Linked DNA regions of Ovis aries. The protein of the gene in region 2 interacts with the protein of the main gene of each other region in a pairwise test. Links are inferred from orthologs where the notes say so. Each region holds a gene or a part of one and is shown on either strand. Other genes may lie near its edges.

Region 1 (3,500 bases), on a different chromosome or scaffold from region 2:
TGGAAGCAGGTGGGAGGACTCGGGGACCTCAGGCTGTCGGCTGAACCAGATGCCAGGGGACCAGGAAGTTGTGCTGTGGTGGGAGAGGGGCAGATAACTGGGAGACATGCAGCAAGGCAGGAGAGAAGAGACTGCACAGGGAAAGACAATTCTGAAGAGACTCACAGGACAGGAGGCGGGGTCACTAGGTGCTGGAAGGACGGGGAGATGGGCAGAGAGGCTGAAAGCTGATGCTCAGATTTCTATCCTGGGAGACTAAGGAGACAGTGATGCCATTTACTGCTAATGGGAAAGGCGGGGCAATCTGGGGTGGGGGCATTTCTGGGCATGTCATTCTGAGGGTCTAAAGACAGCAGGCAGAGGTCCTGAGGGTGGCTGGAGCTCCATGTCTACAGAATGAAAGCCAAGCTCTGGAAACATCCAAGCGCCAGTTTGAGCTGAAGCTGTGATCCACTGTCTCTTCCAGTGAGTCAAGGTCCCAGTGCCCTGACTATGCTCCAAGGCCTGTGAAAGGCCGAGCCCATCTCCCCTGAGACTGATCTCCTCAGGGAGGGACCACACGGCGCATCCCTCATTTCTTTTTCCCCCATCCCCATCACCCAAGCACAAGGGTCTGGCTCCACATGGGAAGACACCCGCTTGGCTCCTATTCCTGATCAGACAAGAACCTCGAGAAATGGAACGAGCTGCTCATACCGACATGTAGGACCTGGTGCCCACGAAAGAGTTGGCCATGGAGTCGATGAGCTGCCCGCTGACCCCAAAGTCACAGAGCTTGATCTCCCCACGGCTGTTCACTAGGATGTTGGACGGCTTGACATCTGTAGGGGAAAGAAAACCGGAAGGTAGAGAACTGACAGGTAGGCTGGGAAGCGCTGCCCAGCCAGACTAGCCCTGACCGCGGACGCCCCCATCACGGAGCCAGCCCTTGGCTCACGGACACGGGACACCGCGGCCCCTGTTCCCCCGGCTCAGGGCTCGGGGAAGACCCGTCAGCAGAGGAGTGACAAGCTGCTACAGAAGCAAGACAGAGAGCCAGTGTTTTCCACTCAGAATCCAGTCTTGGCCAGATGACCCACAGGAAGGAGTCAGTTACCATGAGTAATCAAGGCTGAAAGGTCTGTTGCTTCAGCCGCCTCTGTTGGCAAGACACAGCGCCTATCACTGGATCACAGGGAGGAAGGAATAGGAAGGCCTGTATGCTTGCTGAGGCTACACACCAAAGACCAAAGGAGGGTGGGATGGAGGCGGGCACTGCTATTCTTGACCCGACAAGCACAGAAGATGGGGGTTTTAAAAGTGTGCGTGCCAGGGGATGGGAGCCAACTTCCGATTCTCTTTCACTGAAGTCACTTCTCTAAGAGCCTGCGTCTACCTGTTAGTTAAGGACAGTCTCTCGCTGTCGGGACCCGAGAACTAGGGAGGGCTTACAGCTGCTCCTCGGGGTCAGGACAGTGTCCCCAGCACCGGCCCCGTTCCCCTTCGCTGCACTCGAGCCAGCCCCACGGCCACCCTGGCGCCTACCACCAGTATTAGTCCGCTGGCCCTTCCCTTTGCCAAGAGGTAGATTTCTCAACATTTTCCTTTTACCATCTCCTCTGATTCAAACAACTGTCCCATGAAGCAGGAAGAGCAGAGGCTGGGACTTGGTAAAGGGGCCCCAGGCACCAGGTTTGTGGACAGACATTAGCAAACAAGGAGACCCACTCAAGAGCAGGCCAAACCCCAGAGCAAAATCACAAACCCTGACAGGGAATCTCTGACGGGCGTAATACAAACACAGGGCATCTGGAGAACCAGAGGCAAGAGTGAAACCCTCATAATCCCAACCTACCAGAGCTACTATTAAGATTTTATTATGCTCCCCTTCAATACCCACAAGAATGTGTTTATTTATTCTTACACAGATTCTAACATCCATAAGTATCTTTCCAAGGGTAAAAAAACAAACAAAAAAATCCCTCTCGCATATCCCAGGAAGTCCTCGCCTGCCCACCTCTACCTAGCCCCTCATCATCCCCAGCCAGGGTCAGGTCCTAACCACAGCCACGCCAGCTCCAGCCTCTCTCCACCCACCACCGGCTCCACCAGGGCAGGGACGCTGGCAGTTTGCCTCACTCCTTTAACTGCAGATACAGAACAATACCTGGCAGGACAATACAGGAAGTACTCCTCGATGTCTGTGAATGAATGGGGCTAAACTCACCGGGGACACACACACACTTCACACCGTGGGTACTGTCTTTCTAAGACCCGTGTCACAGAACACAGCAGCACAGAATTCAAGATCTTTCCAAACCCACTGGCACGCCCCCATGTCTCCCATATAGACACAGGTGTCAGAAGTAGCCTGAGAAGGCATCTGGCTCCTCCCCTTCATGGTGGAGATGAAAAGCCTAAGGCCCAAAGGGGTCCAGGGACTTGACTGAGGTCACACAGCAAAAACTGGATAAAGTGGGAACCAGAATTCAGACCTTGTGATGCCTGGACCTGTCTTCTCCCCACTCACCCTGCTCATACATCACTCATACCCTGAGTGACTGACCACAAAGCCCCAAGCGCCCTCACCTTCCAGTGTTCCCATGGCCTGTTCAGAAATGACCTATTAGGTCTTCTTATAAAAGCAAAAGAGCGGCACTAGCTACAGAGACAGGAGACCTGTATTCGCGTCCTGGCCCTGCCACATGTTCCACATGCAGCCTTGGGCGAGCCCTTGGCTTTTGTAGTCTGTGGTCTGCGGATCGGTAAAGTGGTGATAAGCACCACAGCTCTCGTAGCCTCACCAGATGGAGACCAGGATCCGCCGGATGAACTGTGGGCATTTAAAGAGCACACACGTGACAGGATCACAAAGAAGGATTCTTTCACGGTTGCACTCCAAGACCAGCAGCTCACGGCTCCAGACACCCGCTCCCTCACTTGCCCCTGCTGCTCAGACACCACTCCCCAGGCCACAGCCGCTGCTCGGGAGAGGCTGCACAGCCTCTGTGGCTCTCCTTGTATCTGATTTCTGTTCACGTGGCAAGCCAGCCTCCTTTTTTGCAAACTTATATAATGCCACTTTCCTCCCTCTCTGGCTGTCAGCTCCCGCTTCCCCCACTCGCCCCAGGAACACTGCCTGGGAGGCTGAAACACCCATGCAGATGCAGTGGGGATGGGGTGTTTCCCTGCTTGGACCACATTCACCCTGGAAGCCAAATGCACACACAGGGCCCCTCAAGGTGACCCTGAAGGCCTAACAAGAAGCTGTTTGGAGACATCCTAACTTCTTCCACTCCAGGACATGTGGCTGGAGCTGCCAGGATAGGACATGCTCCGCCCTGGCACCCCAGCAAAGTCGGGCTCTTTTCTGGGGACAGAAAAGAGGTCAGATAAGGCCTGAGAGGCTGTTTCCTCCCACTAGCAGCCTCCTGGATTTGCTTCCCACAGTCCCCACCCCTCCTTCCTCTGCTCCCGTCCCCAGCAGCTTCCTCTTCCAGCCGGTCTTACACAGTGACCTG
Region 2 (4,110 bases):
TCCAAACCAGGAGAGGGTGAGGGTTGTGCCTGCACATGGAAGTCAGGTCCCTGTACGAAGAGCTGTACAAGGGCCGTCCCTAGACCAAGTGGAGCAGCCCCCAGTCAAAGGCATCTTCCTTAAGCAGAGAGGCCCAGAGAAAATCTGCCTTCTGGCATTTGAGGTCCCAGCACAACAAAAAGTTCCCCAAAACCCAATAGGAAACCTGCACATTTTCAAAAGCAGTCCCACGGGGGAATTCCCTGGTGGTCCAGAGGTCAGGACACCATGCTTTCACTGCTATGGGCCCAGGTTCAATCCCTGGTTGAGGAACAAAAATTCCATAAGCCACCATGTGAGTGTGACCAAAAAATCAGCCCCCCAAACTCATGAGTTCTCTGCCTGCTTCCTCTGGCCTTAGACAACAATAATTCCAGTATTTGAAGAGTACTTGCCACACAAAGCAAGAAGCCCGTCTTTTTAAAAAGAGGAAAAGAACAGTGACACAACAGAACACAAGAAATCAGAGAACAAAAGGGAACCAAAAAAACCCTTACTAGTATCCCCAAAGTCAAGGAGAAAAATGCATTCATCAAACAATACATTATTATGAAAAAAGAACATTATAAATCCTTAGAAATTAAACTTTGATTGTGGAAATGAAAAATTTTTAAGTAGGACTGGAGGATAAATGTTTCTATCCCAGAAACAAGAATAAGATGACACAGGAAGAAGATAATGACAGAAGATTCAGAGGGTTAATCCAAGATGTCCATCATCAAACTAACAGAAACTCCTAAAACAGAAGAGTAAAAGCAGAGCTGGAGAAGGAAATAGCAACCCACTCCAGTATTCTTGCCTGGAGAGTCCCACGGACAGAGAAGCCTGGTAGGCTACAGTCCGTGGGGCCACAAGAGTCGGACAACTTAGCGACTAAACCACCACCAAAAGCAGAGCAGAAGACATTCTCAAATGACACAAGACTTTCAGATTCCAGAGCTGAAGGACAAGTCCCCAGAGTCAGAAAGCAGTCAGAGTAGGACTCTACACAGTTTTCGGGAATTCCGGAAATGTCTTAATACCAAAGAGGATCCTGAAGAGTTATCCAAAAGGAATAAGGCTACTTGGCAGTAGGTTCTCACTGAAATAAAGGAAGTCAAGATTAAAACACGAGACCTGAACAAACTCAGTTGTATATAGTAAAAAAAAAAATGTCAAGATGATACTGGTGCTGGTCTAAGGAGTAAACAATCCAGATTAGAAAAAGACCACCACAAGGCTGGGGAGAGGGGGATGGTAAGAGAGATTTAGTGCCATCCTTCAGAATCTAAAACAAGGTAAAGTGGGACTTCCCTAGCAGTCCAGTGGTTGAGACTCCATGCTTCCATTGCAGGGGGAACAGGTTCAATCCCCAGAGAACTAAGATCCCACATGCCTCGGGGAATAGTTAAAAAAATAATAAAAGGTAAAGAGTCAACAGGAACAAAAAGTGCAAAGAAAAAGAAAGGCCATCACAAACAACAGAAAAAAGCAAAAACCCGTATAACAGGGGAAATAGACTACCTAGCTGTGAATATCTGCTTAGTTATAAACAATCTGAACTGAACATAGTGATCAGGGGATAGAGGTGAGACGCGATATGAAAAAGTCAGTCATCCTATCTGTTAACAGCAAGTCAGGAATGTATAAAACCAGTAAAGTGCCAGCTTATTATTTATAGCAACGAAGAACTTCCTCATGAAACAGCAAAAATATAAAGTCTTGGAGGAGTGGAACTGGGAGGTGGGGTGGGGGCTGTTGTTTTATAGTCTTCCATTGACACTTTGCGGCATTACTTTATTAAAGTATCAAACGTGTGCAGTTTTTTCAGAACATGGACTTGGGACAGATCGCATTCAAACCTGGCCGTGTGACCCAGGGAAGCCCCTTCCCTCCGTGGGCCGCAGCCACCTCCCTGTCCCCCTGACCCGACCGCCGCGATGAGAAGCGCTGGAAACGCCGGCGGGACTGGCCGCAGCACTGGACCCACACACGGCATCAGCTTTCTCAAAATTGGAGCCGTGACAGGACCCGACGTCCCAGGAGGAAACGCTTATTTTAATCGCCAGACAAGGGGGGGCAAAGGAGCTTTAAACACACGGAGTTAACGTTACCGGCGGCTCGAAGATTCCGAGCACCGGGCAGGGGTCCCCAGGGCCGCTCCTCACTCGGGCCCGCCGCCCGCCCAGCGAGAACAGCCGCCTCCCGCACTTCCGCCCGCAGCCGCTGTCCCCGCGTCCGCGGCCGCCGGCCTCCCGGGGGGGAGCCGCCTAGCCGCCTGCCAGCCCGTGGCCTCACGACCCGGAGCGGCTACACCGCAGCAACAGCAGCGCGACCCCACCCCGCCCGCCCGCGGCCGGACGCTGCTCTTGCGGGCCTGGTCCCGGAAGGGAGGCCCGCTCCGCGACGGACCCCGCGCACCGCGACGGCGGGGGCGGCGGGCCGGGGGATGGGCGGCCGGAGCCAGGTGCGGGTGCGCTGAGGCGCGGCGGGCAGGCGGCTTGACAGGGCTGAGACGGGGGCGCACAGGACGGCGGGCCGTTGGGGCCGGTGGCCGTGTCGGGGGGGCGGGGGCGGCGGCGCGGGCGCCGCGGCCGGAGGAGGGCGCAGGGAGGAGGGAGGAGGGGAGATCTCGCTCTCGCTCTCGCCCCGCGGGAAGGGGGAGGTGGAGACGCGACCGGCTGCGGGAGCTGCAATTACCGTGTGGGCTGCGGAATTCTCGTGGTGTTTGTCGGGGAGATGCGATAATGGCGTCCGTCCTCGCGAGAGAAGCCGCCGCTCTGCGCAGGCGCCGCGAGTCCCTCCCCGCGGCCCTCCGCCCTGCACCATCTGCGCAGGCTCACCGGGAGGAGGAACGGGGACGGGGCAGGGCGCGAGGGCGGGGCCTGCTGCTCGGAATCTCCCGCCCGCGCTGGGCTGGCGCCGACGACCGCCGGGCATGCGCACGGGTCCTGCATCCTCGCCACAGATTGGCCTCCAAACTTCTTACTTCTCTGTCACGCGTTCAGGCTTCTCACTAGCCCCTGAAAAGTCGCGTTGGTGGACCGTTCGGGGAATTTGCATTTTCTTTGAGGCCTAATGAATAGGAATTAGCGCCATAGACGACTACATGTCCCGGAGGGCCCTGCGCAAGCCTCGAGCAGTGCATTCTGGGACTCGTGGTTCCTGCGTCTGCGCGAAGCCTGCTGGTACTTGTGGTCCCATCCCCCCCGACCCGTGCCAGCGCATGGAATGCTGGGACTTGTAGTTGAGGTGTGCAAGGCCGCTGCACCGGGCGCGGCTCTGGCCACTGCTGCAGCGGGGTTCCCCTGAGTAGCAGGCGAGCTCAGGGGTTCCCAGGTTCGTCACAGGTTCAAAGACACGCTCCTAGAAAAATATATATTAATTATATGTGATATATATTTTATGTGTAATTGATGTTATGTATTGTGATGTTTGTTATGTATCCTTAGAAAAGGCAGAGAGGAACCAGAGATCAAATTGCCAACATCTGTTGGATCATACAAAAAGCAAGAGAATTCCAGAAGAATATCTACTTCTCCTTCATTGTCTATGCTAAAACTTTTGACTGTGTGGATCACAACAAACTGGAAAATTCTTATTAAGTGACAGTGAAGTCCCTCAGTCGTGTCCGACTCTTTGCAACCCGTGGACTGTAGCCCACCAAGCTCCTCCGTCCATGGGATTCTCCAGGCAAGAATACTGGAGTGGGTTGCCATTTCCTTCTCCAGGGGATCTTCCCAACCCAGGGATGAAACCCAGCTCTCCCACATTGCCGGTAGACGCTTTAACCTCTGCACCACCAGGGAAGCCCTTAAATACAAGAATACAGTCTCTCAGAAAACCTCCTATAGAGACACAGAACTTCAGATCCAGGTACTAACATCAAAGATTTCAAGGGAGGAAAGGAAGCCAGGTTGAAAGAAGAAGGGGGAGGAGGCAGGAGAGGGGGGGACGAAAGGGGTGGCCTTACAGACATCTCCTGCCACCTACAGATGCCCAGGTATTATGGGACTTTTCCCTGGCCTCCAGAGAAGGGAGGACTGAAACTCGACCCTACCAGAAATCAGACCAGACCAGAACCAGAATTCG

Evidence for each region.
Region 1: the proteins of BANP (region 2) and MAP2K1 interact in binary tests that used the Homo sapiens proteins (3 or more experiments, as listed by UniProt). The two-hybrid records come from large-scale screens. The link is inferred for Ovis aries from reciprocal best matches to the Homo sapiens genes BANP and MAP2K1.

Annotation. Positions count from the first base shown.
Region 1 is NC_056060.1:13,310,741-13,314,240, reverse strand, and holds part of MAP2K1 (dual specificity mitogen-activated protein kinase kinase 1), read right to left. Parts: intron 822-3,500; coding exon 697-821; intron 1-696. UniProt on the Homo sapiens protein: Dual specificity protein kinase which acts as an essential component of the MAP kinase signal transduction pathway.
Region 2 is NC_056067.1:12,929,245-12,933,354, reverse strand, and holds the start of BANP (protein BANP), read right to left. Parts: upstream 2,801-4,110; 5' UTR 2,133-2,800; intron 1-2,132. UniProt on the Homo sapiens protein: Controls V(D)J recombination during T-cell development by repressing T-cell receptor (TCR) beta enhancer function. Binds to scaffold/matrix attachment region beta (S/MARbeta), an ATC-rich DNA sequence located upstream of the TCR beta enhancer.